Canis lupus familiaris: one gene and its partners. The protein of the gene in region 1 interacts with the protein of each later gene in a pairwise test. Links are inferred from orthologs where the notes say so. Each region holds a gene or a part of one and is shown in the gene's direction. Other genes may lie near its edges. The genes, in order: CYTH4, FOS, CNKSR1 and IPCEF1.

The links.
Region 2: the proteins of CYTH4 (region 1) and FOS interact in a two-hybrid assay, tested with the Homo sapiens proteins (2 studies listed by BioGRID and IntAct). The two-hybrid records come from large-scale screens. The link is inferred for Canis lupus familiaris from reciprocal best matches to the Homo sapiens genes CYTH4 and FOS.
Region 3: the proteins of CYTH4 (region 1) and CNKSR1 interact in binary tests that used the Homo sapiens proteins (3 or more experiments, as listed by UniProt). The two-hybrid records come from large-scale screens. The link is inferred for Canis lupus familiaris from reciprocal best matches to the Homo sapiens genes CYTH4 and CNKSR1.
Region 4: the proteins of CYTH4 (region 1) and IPCEF1 interact in binary tests that used the Homo sapiens proteins (3 or more experiments, as listed by UniProt). The link is inferred for Canis lupus familiaris from reciprocal best matches to the Homo sapiens genes CYTH4 and IPCEF1.

What each region holds. Positions count from the first base shown.
Region 1 is NC_049231.1:28,265,721-28,270,823, reverse strand, and holds the start of CYTH4 (cytohesin-4), read left to right. Parts: upstream 1-1,409; 5' UTR 1,410-1,585; coding exon 1,586-1,604; intron 1,605-5,103. UniProt on the Homo sapiens protein: Promotes guanine-nucleotide exchange on ARF1 and ARF5. Promotes the activation of ARF factors through replacement of GDP with GTP.
Region 2 is NC_049229.1:48,647,019-48,652,171, forward strand, and holds the start of FOS (proto-oncogene c-Fos), read left to right. Parts: upstream 1-2,009; 5' UTR 2,010-2,169; coding exon 2,170-2,310; intron 2,311-3,047; coding exon 3,048-3,299; intron 3,300-3,737; coding exon 3,738-3,845; intron 3,846-3,969; coding exon 3,970-4,611; 3' UTR 4,612-5,153. UniProt on the Homo sapiens protein: Nuclear phosphoprotein which forms a tight but non-covalently linked complex with the JUN/AP-1 transcription factor. In the heterodimer, FOS and JUN/AP-1 basic regions each seems to interact with symmetrical DNA half sites.
Region 3 is NC_049223.1:73,208,694-73,213,974, reverse strand, and holds the start of CNKSR1 (connector enhancer of kinase suppressor of ras 1), read left to right. Parts: upstream 1-2,136; 5' UTR 2,137-2,248; coding exon 2,249-2,300; exon of another isoform or gene 2,301-2,514; intron 2,515-2,515; exon of another isoform or gene 2,516-3,302; coding exon of another isoform or gene 3,303-3,324; exon of another isoform or gene 3,325-3,366; intron 3,367-3,374; exon of another isoform or gene 3,375-4,158; coding exon 4,159-4,316; exon of another isoform or gene 4,317-4,420; coding exon 4,421-4,602; exon of another isoform or gene 4,603-4,681; intron 4,682-5,208; coding exon 5,209-5,281. UniProt on the Homo sapiens protein: May function as an adapter protein or regulator of Ras signaling pathways.
Region 4 is NC_049222.1:44,640,340-44,645,537, reverse strand, and holds the start of IPCEF1 (interactor protein for cytohesin exchange factors 1), read left to right. Parts: upstream 1-2,017; 5' UTR 2,018-2,018; coding exon 2,019-2,181; intron 2,182-5,198. UniProt on the Homo sapiens protein: Enhances the promotion of guanine-nucleotide exchange by PSCD2 on ARF6 in a concentration-dependent manner.

The sequences.
Region 1 (5,103 bases):
CCTCCAGCAGGCTAGCCCAGGCTGGTTCTCACAGCAGCTGGGCAGGCAGGTGGCCAGAGACAGACACAGCCCAGTCCAGATTCAATGGGAAGAGAAATAGACTCCACCTCTTGAGGGGAGGAGGGGCAGCGTAACCATGCAAAGGTGTGTGCACACAGGGAAGGGTGGAAAGTGTAGCCAACTTTGGCATCAACCATACTACTTCTCCTATGTTCCTTTTATTCATTCACTTATTCATTCATTGCTTTTACCAGACATGAAGACATGGAGGTGAACTTGTCCTCATGGGGCCTCCAGACTGGTAGGGAAACAGACGAATAAATCCATGTGTGACACACAGTTACACAGAGTGAGCATTTTTTAAATAGATATTTCTTTACACAACACTTTTTTCCACAAAGAAATTGGATCAACCTGCTGGAAAAGGCACAAGCATTAAATTGGGAATTTTAACCAGAAAGAAAACTAAAACCAAAAGGAAAAGAAGATAGTGTTCATTAAGCACCCACTATGTCCCAAGCATCTTAAGCACATTCTTTCCACCCCCTTTTCTATAACCCTGAGGTGAGGATTATTATTCTCCCTTTAAAATTTTTTTTTATTTATTTATTAGAGACAGAGAGAGCACAAGAGGTGGGGGCGAGGGGGGGGAGCCAGAGAGGTTAGTAGGCTCCCCACTGAGCAGGAAGCCCAATGCAGGGCTCCATCTCCAGGACTCTGGGATCATGACCTGAGCCAAAGGCAGCTGCTTAACTGACTGAGCCCCCAGGCACCCCTCTTATTCCCCTTTTATAGGTAAGCAAACTGAGGCTGGCTGCAGATAAGTGACCTTGCTGGAGTTCTCACAGGACCCAAGTGGCAGAGCTGAGAGCCACACAGCTGAGTCTGGCCCCAAAGTTCATGTGTTACAGTGGAACAGTTGTAAAGGAGCTTCGGATTTGACTATGAGTTTCCTAGCAGCCTGGGGGAAAAGAGAAACTAAACATACTGCCAATTGGTCACTAGACAGGAAAGAGCCAGGCATGTCATCAAAGGGAAGCAAAGCCTTTCCTAGCACTGAATCCATTTTCTTTTTCCCAAGGCTGAGGAGATGGAAGAGAGCTTGTAGGGCAGAATCTTTGGGGCCCCGTTGTCCAAGGGTGACCCTTCAGCTGACATCTGGGGACGTTGGTAAGTAAATGCCCGACGTTCCCTGGAGAAGGCTGTGTCCCCCAGCAGCCATCATTCTCTGCACGCGTGTGTGCGCATGCGCGCCCGTGGTGTGCCACTCTGTCTCACTTTCTCTTTTTATCCCCCCAATCCCTCCCTTTGTTTGTCTCCGTTGTCTCTAAATCTCCCTAGCCCGCACCCAAAAATGCAGAGTCCCTGCTACACGAAATTCTGCCAGTTTTAGGAAGTGCTGCTTTGTCAAGAGCCTACACACCAGATCCTAGCAGACAGGACTTCCTCCCCACACGGGGCTGGGCGGGGCGACCCGGAAGGGGCCTGATGTAGCTGAGGTGACACCTCTCTGCCTGGCCAGCTCGAGCAGCAGCTGGCTCAGCGGGCGACAGGAGCACAGGCCACCCTTCCTCAGGGCCTCAGAATGGACTTGTGCCACCCAGGTAAGCACCTGGGGCCAACCTCTCTGGGCCTCAGTTTCCTCTTCTGTAAGATGGGGACAATTGTGCTTGCTTTGCAGGACCCTGGGAGGAATCAATATGTAAATAGATATAAGGTGGGAAAGGCAGAAGCATGCAATGAATGTTTATGAGCTCAGGCTGGGGGCCAAGCTGTGCTCCAGGGGCTGGGAGTGCAGTGAACAAAGCAGGCCCTGTCCCTGCTCCCATGAGCTCACGCTCTAGCGGGGGAGACTGTCAGGAAAGGTATTAATGTAATATGTCAGGAGGTGACAAGCAGGAGGAAGAACAGTCAAGGAGGGTAAGGATGATGGAGAGGTGCTGGAGAAGGCCTCAGAAGGAGGCACCATTTGGGCAGAGACCTGGAGGGGGGAGGGAGTGATCTATATGGGTTTCTGGGGAAGGAATATTCCAGGGGGAAGGGACAGCAGTGCAAGAGCTGAGGATGATAATGTTGGTGACAATGGCTGTCTGGGTGGCACAAGGGTCCTCAAGCTCCTGTCTGGCCTTTGAGGATGGGGAGGCCGAGGGCAAGCCTAGAGCGCTGGTGGAGGCCAGGGAGGAGCAGCGGAGACCCTCCCCAGTGAACAGAAGCATGTCCGGGGGAAAGAGGAGAGGTGTCTACGCAGCTGGTAGGGGAGACAACAGGATCCTGCTGCGTTTCTGCAAGGCAGGGAGAAGAGGGACAAAGCCTCTGTGCCCTGCAACCAGAATATCCCAGCATTGCCTGGAGATCCAGGAGACGAGGCTGCCGGGAGCTGTCCAGTCCCCAAGCTTCAGATGACATCGACCCCGGTTAGCAAGAGAACCCTTTCTTCCAACAAAACCGAAGGCAGAGCCGTGTGACCCCGCCCCCCAGCCTCCCTGGCTCCGCGGGCTCTGGGGAACACACAGAACCACCCATCCCTTCAACCCCGTTTGGGCTTTTGGTGGCAGGTGGCTCACAGACTGGACGGGCTCCGTGATATGTCATAGGTGGCGACCAGAAGGCAAGAGGGGACCCAGTGAGGAGTAGCACCTGGCTCCAGGTCACTCGCCAGATGGGAGGTGATAGGAGACGCTGAAGTCACGGAGCCCACACTGCCTGTCTTCCCACCGCTATTACTTTGCTCTCACAGCCCGAGGTCCTTCAGAACAGGGAGGGTCGTCTCCATAAAGAGGTGAAGTGGACGAGAGGGCTGACTCGCCTGTTAGTGGCCAGGGACGTGAACCTGAGAGGAAAGAGAGCAGGGGTCAGCCCGGGCTGTGGGAGGCGCCGGGACACCAAGAAGGTGGGCCGCCGCTTAGCTTTAGGCTGGCCCTGGGTGGGAGTGGGTTGAGGAAGGTCAATGCAGGTGGTCTGCTGGGAGATTTGAGATCTCCATGGATTGGGTCATTCATTCATTCATTCACTCATGCTGCAAACAGTCCTCCGGTGTGCAGGTCCTGTGCTGGCTGAGCGGTGCTGGGACAGTGGGGACCCAGCTGTTGGGGGAGCTGCTGGTCCAGGATGCGGGGGGATGGGGAGACAGATCCTGCAGACAATGACCCAGGGCAGATGAGGAAGCGACTTCTTCCACCTGGGGGGGGGACAAGCTGGGAAAACTTCCTGGAGGAGTCAGAGGGAGGGAAGGAAGGTCATCCCCCATTGTCCAGAGTGGGTCTTAATCAAAGCTCCTCCCCAGCCAGGTGACTTCCCTCTCTGAGCTCAGATTCATCATCCATAAGGGCCCCTCCACCCCCAGCCTGAGCTGGGAAAGTGGGGAATGAGTGGGGGGTGGGACTCACCCCACCTGGCTGGGGGCCCAGCTCTGCACCAACCCACCAGTGGTCATGATGGGCCTTTTATCCTCTGTGGGCTCTGCTTCCTCACCTCTGCCGTAGATAGGATGGGGCCGGGCTCCCCCAGGACAACCTGGCCTCCTCCAGCTTGTCCTGCAGAGAAGCAGATCAAGCCCCCTCCCCCAGGGCCTGCTGGGAAGCTGAGAGGTCCAGGCAGCAAAGCCCCTACGTGACCAAAGACAACAACTTGGGGTTGGTGCAGCGAGGCTAGGGTGCAGTTAAAAATAGAGACAGCTTGGCTCTGGGGGTGGGGAGGAAGCCACACGGACACCCACAGAGCCTCAGGGGCTGGGGCGGAGCCGCTCCGCCAGACACCCCCTCCTGCCTGGGTGCCCCTCACGCGGAGACTCTGAGGCGCCTCTGCCCCCTGGGGGGGGCCCCAGGAGAGCACCCTCCTCTCGCCCTGGAAAGCGGAAGCAAGGCCAGCTGTCCTGGAAGCCAGGCTGCAAGCAGAATGATTTCTAAAAATATGATGGGAAAGAGGAAGGACAAAGGGGAAGCAGGGAGGAGTTGGGGAGGTGGTCGGGGTGGGCCCCCGGGCACTCCCCGCAGCCTGGGCACGGGTGCAGAGGGCAACCACAGCCTGCAGCAGGCGTGGGCTCAGTTGTCCAAAACTGGCCCTTGTGAGGCCTGAAAATTAGAGTCAAGCTGAGGAGTCAAGAGAGTTCATGGTGGTGGCTATTGTCCTTCTCATGTTATTATTGTTTGTGTTTTATCACTATTGTCATCAAAACCCGTTCTCACTGGTTTGGGGTGGTATCTCATTGTGGTTTTGATTTGTATTTCCCCGATGGCAAGTGATGCAGAGCATTGGGGAGACTGGGTGAGAGGCACTAAGGAGGGCACTTGATGGGATGAGCACTGGATGTTATACTATATTTGGCAAATCAAACTTCAATAAAAACAAATAGAAAAAAAAAAACAAAACACCTCCCCTAAGCTGCTCCAGGGCTTAAAACACCAGCATCGCCTGGCTGGGAATCAGAAATGGCCCTCTCACTCTACGTCCCTGTCACCCTCCACTCACTCTGTGTCCTTGGCACCCTCCCCGAACCATCTGGACCCTCTGCGCTGAAATGCGGAGGAACCCCAGCTTTGAGACAGGTGAAGGGTCCGAAGGCCCCACGCTCCACAGGACAGTTGCAACAGCGCCGGGGCCACCTGTTGGGGTCAGAATCCTGTCAAGGTAACAGGGCCCTGGGAGGATTCATGGACACATCCGTCAAGCCACAGAAGAAGCCCTATGGAGACGGAATGCCAACAGCCCCTCCTCCCTGCCCCGCCATCCTGCCGTCCTGAGGACACGTGGGCCTGTACCTGTGCCTCTGTCCCCCCAGCTCTAGGAAGTTGGCTTTGTTTTCTCTCTCACCCCCCAGAAAGGGAAAGAGGAACAAACCGCAGGCATCATTCCACATCCGGCCTTCATTCTCAAACAGGGAGCCACGGTCAGCATTTCCATGTCAGGACAACCAGGGCTAGTGTCTGATGGGGTTTCAATGATTTGCATGAAAATATCTGGCATCAGACCATCATCAGCATCACGGGTGTGGCCTCGGAGTCCTAGCTGGGCCTGGGGGTGACTCCCAGCTCCACCACCTTCCAGCTGTGTCACTTGACCTCTCTGAGCCTCGGATACCTCATCTATAGAATGAGACCAGATGTT
Region 2 (5,153 bases), on another chromosome or scaffold:
TTTAAGTGAGGAAAAAAAAAAAAAAAAAGCGCCTGAATTCCCACCAACATAAACCAGTGACATACAATGATGAAATTCTGTTTTCACCTCTGCCTGTGACAGGGAATGCAAAAATAGCAAGTGGCCCAGTTCCACGAATCCCCGCCTCCCTGCCCTCCCAGCTCCCGCCGGGTTCTCATCTCTAAGAATGGAGGTTAGCGCACAGCCGCGCGCGAGCCGCACGCAGCCCCCGGACCCGGAGGATGATGTCAGGCGGCGGGAGTGGCCGCGGCGGGGCCGGGGAGGCCGAGGCCCCGGGGGAGCGAGGAGGGAGGGCGGCCTGGCCCGGCCGACGGCGCGCCCGGCCGCGCGGCGTCGCCTGGAGACAGCCCTGGCGGCGCAGTGTTGCTGTAAACAGCCGCTTCCCTGTTACTATCTATAGCAGGATCGCCTGGCTCCGGGGTGCGGCGGCGGGAGGCAGGTCGGCGGTCCGGCTCCCCGCGCGCCCCGAGGGATCCGCCCGCGGCCCTAGTCCCGCCTCGCCCCTTTCCAGGGGTCCACCGCGAGCCCGGGGCCCGGAAGAGTGGGGAAGGCACACGGGGGCTCCGCTGGGCTCTGCGACTTCGCGCCCCGGAGGAGGCCGCGCGCTGGAACCCGGGCTGGGGCAATGTGACCCCAGGTGTCCTTTGCAGCGGAGGAGGAGGCTGGGGGGGTCTCTGGGGGTGCAACGCACGCTCGAGCCCCCGACCGCCCCAACCCGGTTTTCCAGGCCACAGAGCCGCGCCTGAGGTCCCACAGCGGCCGAGGTCTCCCTCCTGGGAGCTGCTGGCTACAGTCCTTCCAGCGCCCCCGGTCCCCCCCCCCCCAAGTCTGCGCTGGAAAATCACCCGCTGTGGGCAGCCAGTAAGCCCAGCTTCCTGGGGGAACCGAGCCTCGTCTAACTTCCCAGCTCGGATTTGCGCTCCCCCGGGGAACTCTCTCCACCCGGTACCCTCAACTGACCACCTTGTCCACATAGCACCCCCGGAATCGCATCCCACTCCCCGGGCCCCAGCTCAGAACTAGGCAAACGAACCCATCAGATATCCTTGCATGGAGGCTCTGCCCAATATTCACTGGCTAGCGTCTCAGATTTGACGGTATCGCTAATGTCCCTAAGTATGGCCGAGAAAAAAAAAATGCGCTTTTTTCCCTAAAAATAAAAAACCAAAACAATTAAAATTAAAATACCCAACATCGTAGATAAAGTAGGTTAGCGTACGTATTCCCTTATTTCGGATTTCCCGACTTTTCTGCTTCCAAATGCAGTAACAGCCCTAGTACTGCTGCGGACTGGGGGCTTGAGGGTCTGCTTTCACGGGGTGCACTGAATCAGGGTAGAATCCGGAATGGCCGGGGGCGGGGGTGGAGGCGGCGCATTCCTTCTGGGGCTGAGGCTTAAGCCCTCGGGCTGTGTACCTGTTTCTCCCATACCTGAGCCCCAGCACATTTCCGGGGCGCCGTATACTGGTAAAAAGGCGCTCCCGGCCCATCCCCCCACCCCGCCCGGGGAACAAGGGTCCGCATTGAACCAGGTGCGAATGTTCGCTCGCGTTCTTCTCCTTTCCCGCCTCCCCTCCCCCGGCCGCGGCCCCCGCCTCCCCCCGCGCTGCACCCTCGGTGTTGGCTGCAGCCGGCGAGCAGTTCCCGTCAATCCGTCCCCCCTTACACAGGATGTCCATATTAGGACATCTGCGTCAGCAGGTTTCCACGGCCGTTCCCTGCGGTCGTGGGGGGAGCCGTCCCCGGAGTCCCTCGTCTCGGGGGCTCCACGGGACCCCGGAGACCCAAATTGCTGATCGCTCAGGAGATAAGGGACCACATTAAGACGGGCAGTGGGGGGCGGCGGGGGCGGCGGCGGCGGCAAGGAGGCCGAAGGCGTGCGCAGGTCGGCCGGCCACCCCCCTGGCGCCGCGATGGTTGCGCCCATGACGTGGGTGGGGGCTCATTCATAGAATGCTGCTATAAATGCGGTGCTGCGGCGCCTCGTACTCCAACCGCATCTGCAGCGAGCAGCCGAGAAGCCGAGACGGAGCCGGCGGCCGCGGCGCAGCGAGCGAGCAGTGACCGCGCTCCCACCCAGCTCTGCCCCACAGCTCCGGCCTGTCTCCGCCCCTCAGCCCCTCGCCCCGGCCCTGACTCACCGCGACCATGATGTTCTCTGGTTTCAACGCCGACTACGAGGCGTCCTCCTCCCGCTGCAGCAGCGCGTCCCCGGCCGGGGACACCCTCTCCTACTACCACTCACCGGCCGACTCCTTCTCCAGCATGGGCTCTCCCGTCAATGCGCAGGTGAGGCTGGCTTCGCGCCGCCGCGGGGCCCGGGGCAGGGTCCGACCCCAGGGCGGAGACTCCGGGGCGGGACGCTCGGGAAGGCGAGTCGGGGGGGAAGCTGCCCTACCGCGGGACCCCCGGACTCGGTGGGGCGCACGCGCGCTGTCCTAGCGAGGATCGGCCCCCCTCTCCCGCGGCAGGCCCGGCTGGGGCCGCCCTCGGGCCGCGCTCCCTGGCATTACCCGGGGCGCAGCGTGTCCCAGGCCGAGACTCGCGAACTAGCGCCTGGCTCCTCCGGGAGGCGACGGGAAGCGGCAATCCCCCCGCCCCCACCCCTCCCCGCGCAGCCCGGAGCCGGGAGGAGGGGCGGGGGAGGAGGGTGAAGCCGGCGGGTGTGTAAGGCAGTTTCATTGATAAAAAGCGAGTTCATTCAGGAGACTCCGGAGCGGCGCCTGCGTCAGCGCAGACGTCAGGGATATTTATAACAAACCCCCTTTCAGGCGAGTGATGCCGGAGGGGTAACGGGGACGCAGCAGCAGGGTGGAGGAGAAACGCGCTGCGTCGCGGGCTTCCTGGGAGGACACGGAGAGCCCCCTGCCTCCAGGACGAGGGGCACATCAGAAGCCCCGAGCAGTCCGGGGCGTGCTTCTCCTCCGCTCTCCGCCGCTGCATGCGGCACTGGACGCCCGGCCCGCCGCACCTGTGTCCGGAACCTGCTCCCTCACGTCAGCTTTGCCCCCTCTGTTCCGTTCTAGGACTTCTGCACCGATCTGGCCGTCTCCAGTGCCAACTTCATCCCGACGGTGACTGCCATCTCCACCAGCCCGGACCTGCAGTGGCTGGTGCAGCCCACCCTGGTCTCCTCCGTGGCCCCGTCCCAGACCAGAGCCCCCCACCCGTATGGAGTCCCCACCCCCTCGGCTGGGGCTTACTCCAGGGCTGGCGTTGTGAAGACCATGACGGGAGGCAGAGCTCAGAGCATTGGCCGGAGGGGCAAGGTGGAACAGGTGAGCGGTTCTTCCAGCACCTTCTCTCAGTAGGGGGCGTGGGTTGGCATTGGTGGAGCTGGGGAGCACCGTGGGCAGGGCGAAGCCACTGATGGAGTCACCACCTATCTGTCCTCCACGAGGAACCCTGGCTCCAAGCCATTTCCGTCCCACGCCGGACTCTGATAGTCCTACCCCAAGAAATACTCTGGTAGTATTTCTTCCCTCATAGGCTCCTTCTCCAGCTTTTAGACCGGGCTCTTCTTTGTTCTCTTGCTAAGGATCTTATTTTAAATGCAAGTCACACCCAGCCCGCAAGTGCAGGTTAGAAATGGCTTCCTCGCAGGGGTGCCAGGAAGCTGGGAAGCTGCAGGGACCAGTTTCACCCCGGGGTGGCTGAACCCAGCTGATGGCAGACCTTGTTACTGACTGTTGGCCTTTTGGAAATTGTTTTTCTAGCTGTCCCCAGAAGAAGAAGAGAAAAGGAGAATCCGAAGGGAAAGGAATAAGATGGCTGCAGCCAAGTGCCGGAACCGCAGGAGGGAGCTGACTGACACGCTCCAAGCGGTAGGTAGACCCTGTGGGTCACTCCTTTTTCAAACTTAGGGGGAAAGTTGGAGACTGGGTATCCGGGAGCAGGGCCCTTGAGTAGGCCCGCGTCTTATGCTTTGCTCTGTCCCTCTGGATACAGGAGACAGACCAACTAGAAGACGAGAAGTCTGCTCTGCAGACCGAGATTGCCAACCTGCTGAAGGAGAAGGAGAAACTAGAGTTCATCCTGGCAGCTCACCGACCTGCCTGCAAGATCCCTGATGACCTGGGCTTCCCCGAAGAGATGTCCGTGGCTTCCCTAGATCTGAGCGGGGGCCTGCCCGAAGCTGCCACCCCGGAGTCCGAGGAGGCTTTCACCCTGCCCCTCCTCAATGATCCTGAGCCCAAGCCCTCCGTGGAGCCCGTCAAGAGCATCGGCAGCATGGAGCTGAAGGCCGAGCCCTTTGATGACTTCCTGTTTCCAGCATCATCCAGGCCCAGCGGCTCGGAGACCGCCCGCTCCGTGCCAGACATGGACCTGTCTGGTTCCTTCTATGCAGCAGACTGGGAGCCCCTGCATGGTGGCTCCCTGGGGATGGGGCCCATGGCCACAGAGCCCGAGCCTCTGTGCACCCCCGTAGTCACCTGTACTCCTAGCTGCACTACCTATACGTCTTCCTTCGTCTTCACCTACCCTGAGGCTGACTCCTTCCCCAGCTGTGCGGCCGCTCATCGCAAGGGCAGCAGCAGCAACGAACCCTCCTCTGACTCGCTCAGCTCACCCACGCTGCTGGCCCTGTGAGCAGGCAGGGAGGGGAGGCGGCAGGCACCCTAGGGTGCTACTGCCCAAGTTGGTGCATTACAGAGAGGAGAAACACGTCTTCCCTCGAGGGTTCCCGTAGACCTAGGGAGGACCTTATCTGTGCGCGAAACACACCAGGCGGTGGGCCTCAAGGACTTGAAAGCATCCACGCGCGGCCTCAAGTCCTTACCTCTTCCGGAGATGTAGCAAAACGCATGGAGTGTGTATTGTTCCCAGTGACACATCTGAGAGCTGGTAGTTAGTAGCATGTTGAGCCAGGCCTGGGTCTGTGTCTCTTATCTCTTTCTCTTTAGTCTTCTCATAGCATTAACTAATCTATTGGGTTCATTATTGGAATTAACCTGGTGCTGGATATTTTCGAATTGTATCTAGTGCAGCTGATTTTAACAATAACTACTGTGTTCCCGGCAATAGTGTGTTCTGATTAGCAATGACCAATATTAAACTAAGAAAAGATATGACTTTATTTTCTAGTAGATAGAAATAAATAGCTCTATCCATGTACTGTAGTTTTTTCTTCA
Region 3 (5,281 bases), on another chromosome or scaffold:
GTGATAATGGTGACAACAATAAGCAGTATGTTTCAGACTACTGTTTTAAGAGAAAGGCTCCTAACTGGGATTTAGAATTTAGGGGGCCCATAAACTTGGATGGGAAAAATGGTATGTTTTTGCTAACTTGTAATAGAGATTTACCATTTCTGGTGCCTGGGTGGCTCAGTTGGTTAGGCATCTGCCTTCGACTCCCGTCATGGCCTCTGGGTCCTAGGATTGAGCACTGAGGCAGGCTCCCAGCTCAGCCAGGAGTCTGTTTTTCCCTCTCCCTCTGTCTCTTCCCCTGGTTGTGCTCTCTCTGTCTCTCTCAAATGAATAAATACAAATTTTTTTTAAATTACCATTTTGGGAATCCTTGGGTGGCTCTGTAGTTTAGCGCCTGCCTTTGGCCCAGGGCGTGATCCTGGAGTCCCGGGATCGAGTCCCACATCGGGCTCCCTGCATGGAGCCTGCTTCTCCCTCTGCCTGTGTCTCTCATGAATAAATAAATCTCTTAAAAATAGATAAAATTACCATTTCTTTCTACATGGATTGAAGTATGAACAGTATCTGGCTTTGTCACCTATTAAAATCACAGATATTTTTATACCAAATTATAGTTATTCAAATATCTCAACATTGTATATGCTCATAATTATTTCAAAATCATGATAGTTATAAACCCATTTCAGACACTCCTGCTATGTAGCTGCCATGGATTGGGCACCTCTAGGTCTAGTAGAGGGTCAGTGACCAAATGGTGAATCTCCCTGTTCTCACACTGGTGACCCAGGCTTCTCCATTATGCTCCTGCATTCCCTATGTTTACTTGTTAACTGATAATGTGAGAGAAGATGAATAAAAGATCACACCACAGTTTAGTGTTCTTCAAGTTTAACACCATGCTGATAACATTAAAAAGGACAATTTAACTTAACAGTCTTGTTATATTTTTTAAAGGTTTTATTCATGAGACACACACAGAGAGAGAAGCAGAGACACAGGCAGAGGGAGAAGCAGGCTCTCCTGAGAGAGCCCTATGTGGGACCCAATCTCTGAACTTCAGGATCATGCCCTGAGACAAAAGCAGAGCTCAACTGCTGAGCCATCCAGGCATCCCCTTGTTACTTTTTTTTTTTTTTTTTTTTGAGATTTTATTTATTCATGATAGAGAGGCAGAGACACAGGCAGAGGGAGAAACAGGCTCCATTCAGGGAGCCTGACACAGGATTCGATCCCGGGACTCCAGGATCACGCCCTGGGCCAAAGGCAGGCGCTGAACCGCTGAGCCACCCAGGGATCCCAAGATTTTATTTATTGATGAGAGACACACAGAGAGAGGCAGAGACATAGGTAAAGGGAGAAGCAGGCTCCCTGCTGGGAGCCAGATGTGTGACTGTATCCCAGGACCCCGGGATCACCTGAGCCAAAGACAGATGATCAACCACTGAGCACCCAGGTACCCAACAGTCTTGTTATCTGATGCTGATAAACACATTACTGTATCATCAATGTATGGGTTTTTTTTAAGACGTTATTTTTTCTCTACACCCAACGTGGGACTCAAACTCACAACCCCAAGAGCAAGAGTTGCACACTCTACTGACTGAGCCCGCCAGGCTCCCCAATCATAAATCCGTGTTTTAAATATGTTTTGGTTATGATTCTCTTCCTTGTAATCTTCAGCATTTCTTTAATGCTTCCAAAAGCCCAATTCTGAGAAAGGGTCCATCGGTTTCACCAGACTGCCAGAAGGGTCTGTGTGTGTGCCCAAAACAGAGGGGGACTAGAAACCCCTGTTCCAAAAAGTTTTGGCGCTATTAAGACAGGTACTCGGCACAGCAGCCCATTTTGCGGAGAACCATGCACGGTGGGTAGGGTTTTGGAGCTAACAAGCTGCAAAGCTGGTTTTCGCTGCCAGGGTTCTGGCTCCTTCTGTGCTCTGACTTGTTTTGTTTTGAGGAGCCTCTTTTGAGGTCAAAGTGCAGTTTGGGGCGGGATCCCGGCCCGCTCCAAAGTCGCCAGGGTCGCAGAGCGGCGGCACCGCCCCGGGTCAGGCGGCCGGGCAGCCCGCGGGGGCGGGAGGCGGGGCGGCGGCGGGCCAATGGCAGCGGCAGCGCCTCACCTGGCCGTGCCCGTGCGCCCAGGTGTGCTGCTGGCTCCGCCCGGGGCCCGGCCCGGGGCCCTCCCCAGGCCGGACTCCGGGAGCGGAAATTCCTGCGCGGGCGGGCCCGGCGGGAGCGGCTGCGGGCGGGCGGTCCGGGCCATGGAGCCAGTAGCGACCTGGAGCCCCGGGAAGGTGGCGGCTTGGCTGAGAGGTGGGCCTGGGCAGAGTCGGGCTGGAGGGGCGCTGGCACGAGCAGACGAAACGGAAAAGGGACGTGCCAGGTCTGTCAGCGGCTTGGTCAACAAGTAGTTCGGGGCGCCTGGCCAGGCGGAGGGATCGACGAGACGCCCCGGGGGCCGGGAGCTCAGCAGGGGTCCCCCAGCGCCGCGCCAGGGGCCGCGGGGGTGCGGGCGGGGAGGCGGCGCCTGCGGGATGAAAACAGAGGGACGGGCCGGCGCCCACGGCCGCCCAAGCGCCTTCATCTTCCCTCCGCCCCAGGGCTCGGTGGGCTGGTATTAAACCCATTTATCAGAAGCGGAAACTGACGCACTGAGCCAGGAAGTGATTTGCTAGGGCTGGGCAACAGGGCCCGTCCTCCTGTCTTTTCCCTTCTCTCCACTTTGAGAGAAACAGAAGGCCCAGTCAGACCGAAGGGGTTGGCACAGCCGCATCCTGGGGCCCCGGGGGAGAGGACGTGGTGGCCAGAGTCACTGAGCCCCGAAGGCGGGGAAAGGGCCCAGACTGCAGCTGGAGAGGGGAGGGGAGTCCTGACAGCCCTCCCGGGGAGCCCGAGCGGGGAGGGGAGTGGAGCTCCCTGCTGGCAGGCTCAGGCCGAGCAGCCCTGGAAAAGCAGGGCTTCAGGGCTGGAGTCAGACTCCCAGGCTGAGTTCCAGGCCCCACCGCTCCACTTACCAGCTCTGCGACCAGAGGTCTCGGTTTCTCTGTCCGTAAGATTAGAAAGTCAACAGCCATCTCATGGAGTAGACAAAATGAGACCATCGCAGCAGGTGCCTAGCCTGCGTGGCTCAAGGTAGACTTGGGAGGAAGGCGGCGCAGCAAGGTCACCGTACTCGGCAGAGGAGCTGCCTGAGGGCTGGAGCCCTGGAGTAGCAGGTCCACCAACTCCCAGTCCAGTGTTCTTAATGTCACACGGGGAACGAGGAAGAGCTATTAATGACCGCTCACATTCCCTAATGATGGAGCCTCACTTGGGATGGAAGGAACTCCTTCAAAGAGTGAGCAAGCTACTTCATCTCTATTTGTATCCATTTTCCCACCTATAAAATGAGGATAATAATAGTCGTTACCTCCTACATTCAGTGAGCACCAAATGTGTTAATACATAGAAAACCCTTAAAATCTTGCCTAGCACATAAGCTTTCAATGGAATTTTTCCTGTCTTCGGTCTGCCTCGTCTACCTTGTGCCAGGCATGGGCTAGAGTTAAGGAGGAACAGTTTTGGATGGCCTAGAGCATGAGGGGCAGTGGGAGCTGGAGAGATCCCAACCCACCCCGGGGAGTTATGGAAAGCTTCCTGGAGGGAGTTAGATTGAAAGGGAGGGTGAAGGAGCTAGAAGAATCCAGGCAGAAGAAATAGTGCATGTGAGGACCCTGAGGCAAAAGAGCATTCCAGGAGCTCCAGGGAGTTAGGGCTCTGGATCTAGAGTATTGAGTTTGAGGGGCTGTGCCAGAGGATGAGACTGGAGAGTCAGGGGGGGCCTGATCATACAGGGCCTTGTAGATCAGGGTAGAGTCTGGTGATGATACCATGGCAGCTACTACTGTCTACCGTGGAATGTAGGGAATGGTCCAAGTGCTTCACGTGTTCCATGTCATTTAATACCCACATGATCAGAAAGTAGGTGCTTTTATTGTTGCCATTTCACAGGTGAGGAAGCTGAGGCATAGAGTGATTAATTTACTTGCTCAGTAAATTAGTCTGATCTAGTCTCATCTGTGAAATGGGCAGAACACGCCCTGGGTCCCAGGATTGTTGTTACGAGCAGATGGGAGGAAAGAGGGCTTTGTGAGAATGAAGAAGTGGCCTGAAAGCCCTGCTCTCCCTCTAGGCCTCCATGACTCCCTACAGGACTACTGCTTTGAGGAATGGGAACTGCCTGGCAAGTACCTGCTCCAGCTCTGTCCCCGAAGCCTTGAGGCTCTGACCGTGTGGCCTCTGGGCCACCAGGAGCTCATCCTGGAAGGGGTGGAACAGCTCCGGGCCCTGGTGAGTGAATGGTGGCCACACTTGTGCAGCTTCCACCCATCTGGGGGTTGCTGATGAGGGGCCGTCTACTGCCAGGAGATAACCTGCCTTTTTTTCTGGCACAGAGCTCTGGGCTACAGACAGAGAACCTTCAGAGCCTGACAGAGAGATTGCTGGAGGGGATCTATGCTTTCCAGAGCTTAGTCCAAGGTCACCTGGAGGGCTGTGTGGAGCCCCCTGCCCATGTCCTCAGTGCAGCTGTGAAACTGATACATGAGGCCCATACCCTCCTCTTCTGGCTCAACAGGTACCCGGGGCTCCTCCTAAGACCCTGGTTGGGCCAGCTGATGAGGGGGACCCTCCTCGTCCTTGGCCTCCTCTGGGACCTGGGAATGAAGAACAGAGCTTGGCTGTTCCGATGTGGAGCAGGGCAAGAAGATTATTTGGTCTGTGTTGGGGGCATCAGGGCACCTGGCTTCCCACCCACCCCCAGCTTGTAATCAGAACAGTCAACACTGCATGAAGAGTTTCTTTACTCCCTTCAACTGCTGCCGCTTATCCCATAGGTCCCGGCTCAAATGTCACCTCTCTGGGAAGCCTTCCCTGTTGTACGTTCTCAGAGCTCCCTATACTTCACAGCAGATCAAATCATATCATTATTGATGTAATCATAGGTTTAAGGTCTGTCTCCCCGGTGCCTAGAACAGGGCTTGGCATGTATTATGCACTTGACAAATAAGTCCTTTGCTAAGCTCTTTAGATTTATCAGTCCTCTCGTTTACCCCAACCAAAACCCATCAGGGCGGATATTATCTCTCCCCATGTGTCAGACAGGTAGTTGGCTCTGAGTGGTTCCATGACTTGACTGGTCATCACAGTCCCCTAATCACTGTTCCACCCTTCCCCCTGCCAGATACCTCTTCTCCCACTTAAACGACTTCTCGGCCTGCCAGAAGATTGGGGAGTTGTGCGGGGAGCTGGGCCAG
Region 4 (5,198 bases), on another chromosome or scaffold:
GGCAGATTGTTCAAGATGTCTTGCGGTTTGCCACCTCCTTGTTACTATGGTAAAATGGTCTGTTGGGAGCAGAGATTGACATGATTGGCTGAAAGAGGAGCTTTCCTTGCTTAGATTTGTAGATTTTTCTGTCTAAGTCTTGATTGTCAGGACTGACAGCTTCTGTGGGAATGCAAGAAGGACAAGTGAGGGAGAGGTCTGCCAATCTCTTCAGATGATGTATCACAGTATTTTAGTGGTGTTGAAAATAAAGTAATTTTAATCATCATAGTTTCTGTTTTAAAAAAAGCTGTGGCTCTGAAAACCATCTGTCAGTTCATTCTCAAAGTGGAGAGAGAGCAGAAATGTAGCAAAATGAGTGGAAAAGTTAACAGTAAAAAGGAGAAAATAAATGGAAGGAAAGAAAGAATAAGATTTTCTAAAGCATGCAGGAAATAGATCAGAATCCAGATGATAATAGAGCTTAAATTTAACAGAAAAATGCAGATGCCTGCATGGTGTCCGTTAAGCATGGGACTTGGTTTCAGCTTAGTTGTGATCTCAGGGTCATGAGATTGAGCCCCAGGTTGGGCTCCACACTGAGCGTGGAGTCTGCTTGAGTTCCTTTCTTCCTCTCCTTCTGCTCCCCCACCCTAGAATAGATAAATCTTAAAAAGAAAAAAAAAGAAGAGAAAAGAAAAGAAAAAATGTTTGAAATAATTTGGATAAAGGCATTTTTCCTTTCATGAATTTCAACTTCTTGGATCAAGTAATAACTCCAGACCATCCCCATGCCATACATCACTGTGTTTGTACTCATAGGGGGCTCTTATATTTTGTTTCCTTCTCTCCTGCTCTATCTTAACAAGAGATCTCCTGCTAACTTGCAAAACTAATGGATTTTTTCCATGTCCTTTGCTTTTATATAAGAACAAAGATGGATTTCCTTTCTTGATTCCTATGGTGCTGCTATCACAGACTACCATTTAACAGAAGATGCTTGCTTACGGCTCTCATTGCTGGTTAAGTGTACAGTTTATTGCCACACATATTACATACTTTCTGTGTCTGAGACTTCTGCCTCTAGAGTGACCAGCATTTTCTATTTCCTCTTTAGCTCTAGTTCTTGGATTAAGAATAATGCACATTGTTTGCCCATGTTCATGGACTTTCTATAAGTTTCTTTGCTGCTCTGAGAATGTTTTGTCATATACCAGGCTTGTAATTTTAAAGGATGAGCACATTATGAATTAATATGTTGGTTTTTAAAATTTTAGTTCAGCATTGTCTTGCTCTGTGAAAAAAGAACAAACCTAGGCCATAGTTTATTCTACCTGAGCTATCTTTTAAGCACAATAAATTGTCTTTTTTTAAAAAAAAAGTTTTTTTAAATTTTTATTTTATTTATGGTAAGCACACAGTGAGAGAGAGAGAGAGAGGGAGAGGCAGAGACATAGGCAGAGGGAGAAGCAGGCTCCATGCACCAGGAGCCCGATGTGGGATTCGATCCCGGGTCTCCAGGATGGCGCCCTGGGCCAAAGGCAGGCGCCAAACTGCTGCGCCACCCAGGGATCCCTAAAATAAGTTTTTATTTAAATTTCAGGTAGTTAACATACAATGTAATATTAGTCTCAGGTGTATAGTATAGTGATTCAGCACTTCCATACAACACCCGGTACTCATCTGAATCATTTCCTTTTCAAAAACCTTTAAAACTGGCCATGGTGCTTATTTTGCTGTATTATTCCAAAGATTATAAGGTCTAGAGGGGAGGCAAGTTACTTTTGGATCAGCTGAACCAATAACTGCCTTTAGGAATTTCTTTCTTCGTTCTTTAACAAAAAGTACCAATTATACTAGTAACTGCCTTCTTTATCAATAGAGCGTTGGTTGCATGTTGATATTCTTGGTTTATTCTTCAGTTTTAAAATGATATAAGACCAGAATCCCTATTTCTAACTTAACTAATTTGCTAAACAGTTCTTGAAATATATTGCTAGAATAAACTTATATTTTGTTTGTGCCTGAAACAAAATAGAATGATTCTTCACCAGCATCTAGTGAAGAAAAATGATTCTTCATCAGCTTGGGCTTCTATGCCAAAATACCATAACTGGGTGCCTTGTCCACAACACAAATTGATTTGTCATTGTTCTGGAGGCTGGGAGTTCAAGATCATGGTGCCATCACGGTCGGGTTCTGGTAAGAGCTCTCTTCTGACTTGCAGATTGCCAATTCTTCTTGTCTCTTGGTGTGGTAGAAAGAGAGGGAGCTAGCTCTCTGGCCTCTTTAATGGCCTTAATCCCATTTATGAGAACTCCACTGTCATGACCTAATCAGCATCCAAAGGCCTCACCTCCAAACACATTACATGGGGATTAAATCAAAACCTACGAATTTTGGGAGGGGGAGTGGAGAACACACATAGTCAATCCATAACAATCAGTATATATTAAGGAATTTTTCTTCCTTGAAATTAGCTTTATTATTCATTTGGTAATGAAATGTGTTTTCCACTTTTTAGTTACAGAGCTTATCAGGAATACATTTTATTTCATTTCACAAACTTAAAGTATTTATGACCTCATTGTTTTGGCTGAGTCTCATATGGTGTTGTGTTAAGGAGTTGTTTTTTAAAGAAGTTAATAGTCTCAAATGGGACTGAGAAAACTATTCCCCGAAACCCTTAAACTCTGAAACAAGGCACCCAAAATGTCTCTAGGAGAGTAGGATAGGGAGTTTAATCAACCTTGAAGAGTAAAAGCTATTTTATTTGATGAAACCTGTTATCATACTTGCTCACATCCTTTAGTTGTGTGCTAATTCCATCAGGAAGAATTGTTTTCTATAACAAAGCCATTTCCAGGTAATTACTCCCATTCAAGATAATTGCTACCACTTGGTGAGTATGCATAGGGTCCTGCAAGTTTCTCATGTGATATTTCATTTAATTCTCACAAAATCTCTGAGCTTATTGTTATTATTTCTGTTTAACATATGAGGTGTCTATTTAGGCAAACTAAGTGATTCTAAGAAGTTTCCACATTTAATGAGTGGCAAGGTGAAATGTTTGACCCTAATGCTTATGTGTGTTGTAGTTTTGAAACATGTTATTTTGGTTGTGTACCCAGAAAGTAATTTGGAAGCCCTATATACTCCTTGACACCTTACATTGTCACCTAGTTTTTATTATATGTTTCAATAGTTGCAAAAGATGTCATTTCTGGCACATGATAAATCTTGTTATAAAAGGTTATATTTAAAAATATGTATATTTCTTTTGATATATATTAAAAGAACTATAACCTGTGTGATATAAATAGCAGAGATCTGATATGTCTCACATATATATTTTTTAAAAAGTCATCTTTGGAGTTTTAATTTTACATTGCTGTTTTCTTCTCCACCCCATTCCACCCTCCGGGAACTCATATTTTTATTCTACTATTCCATGGATTTTTATGCAATTATATATATGTTTTAAAATCTTTCATTGATGGTTTTATACATTTCAGCAAAAAATACATATTTAAACTGAAATTGATTTAATTTTTGTGCATGACAAATTCTTTAAGCCATATAAGATTTCATTTGGAGTGGGTTATCACTATAATTATTAGTACATAATTTAACAAATAACATGAATATGATATTTTGACAAAATAATGATTAATACAAGAGGTACATATTTTTATTGAGAATGCATCATTTAATAAAATATATGAGGCTTTCCCCCTAATTATAGAATTGCTTATAGGTGAATATTATTTATTGCTAGAATGAGAGAGAGTTCAGCACCAATTTTGATCCTTTTCTTGGTTTTTATGTATGTGACCTTAGACCTGTTTTACACATAAATAAATAGTTGGGAATGAAGCACTCTTGAACCCCTTCCAACTATATGTCAAATACCTCATGTGATCTATCACAGCAACTACTTTTAATAAATAACAATTAAAATAAATTTTTAAAAATCTTGTTGAAAGCAAAGAATTAGAAACTTCTTGACTCATGAAAGGTATTTGTTGCCTTATCATTAGGTTCTTATACACTTTTAATTCCTGGGTATTATACAAAAATCCTCCATAAAAAAAATCCTTTATCAAGAGATATCAAATAACTATTCCTTCTTCCTTGAACTCTTTTTACTTATGAGCAGCTTGCTTAAACTGATACACTCAGGAAGTGTTGGGAACAAGGCAAAATTATTACTTTCAAAACACCTTTGTCAGCATCATTTTTTTTATGAACTGCTTTTATTGTGTGCTTTATAAATATTTTTATCAAAATCTTGGTGCTACATATTTAGCTTGTCAATATATAGATAACAAGTATGCTGTACCATGGTTAGCTGAGCTGGTTCTCCTTGTCTAAACAATAAGCAAACATATTTATATTAGTATCCATGACCACCATTTCATTTCCTAATTCTTTTGGATTATGGGTCTGTGCTTTTTATGGAAGAGGAGAAGCAACATTTGAGTTTAAATTGTTTTGATGATTCTGCCTCAAATTATCTTTGAAGCTTCTTGGTGAAACTTTTGATTTCATGTATGTTTACTACTTCAAGAAATAATGTACTGAAACTCTAAAATTATTAAGTAAACACTGACACATAGCCTCTACAATGGCTCTGTGCCTAGGTATGCCCCACCCTCTGCTTTATTCTTCCCCAGCTGTACCACTGATTGTGTTTCTACCCATTTTTCTTTGATTCAGAGAAATCTGACATCAACAGTCTCCATATCCTGCAGATTGGGAAGGTGAATTCTAGAGGGATATTCCTGACAGCACCATTCCCCTAAGCAAAACACTTTGGAATTCATAGGATTTGTTTATGGAAACTCCTCTATAGTTTAGTGTTTTTACTAGTTTTTTTTTTTTTTTTTTTTTTTTTTTTTTTTTTTTTTAGATTTTATTTATTCATTCATAAATAAAGAAAGAGATTCAGGGAGAGAGAGGCAGAGACACAAGCAGGCTCCATGCAGAGAGCCTGACGTGGGACTAGATCCAGGGTCTCCAGATCACGCCCTGGGCTGCAGGCGGCGCTAAACCGCTGCGCCACAGGGGCTGCCCTACTAGTTTGTATTTTTAATTTGGTTACTCTACAAATGTCTATTGAATCATCCTGTGTACAAAGATTGGGGAAACAGTAGTAAACAAGTGAACAAGACACAGTGCCTGCCTTCAGGTAAGTTATACTATAGTGGGGAGTCAGA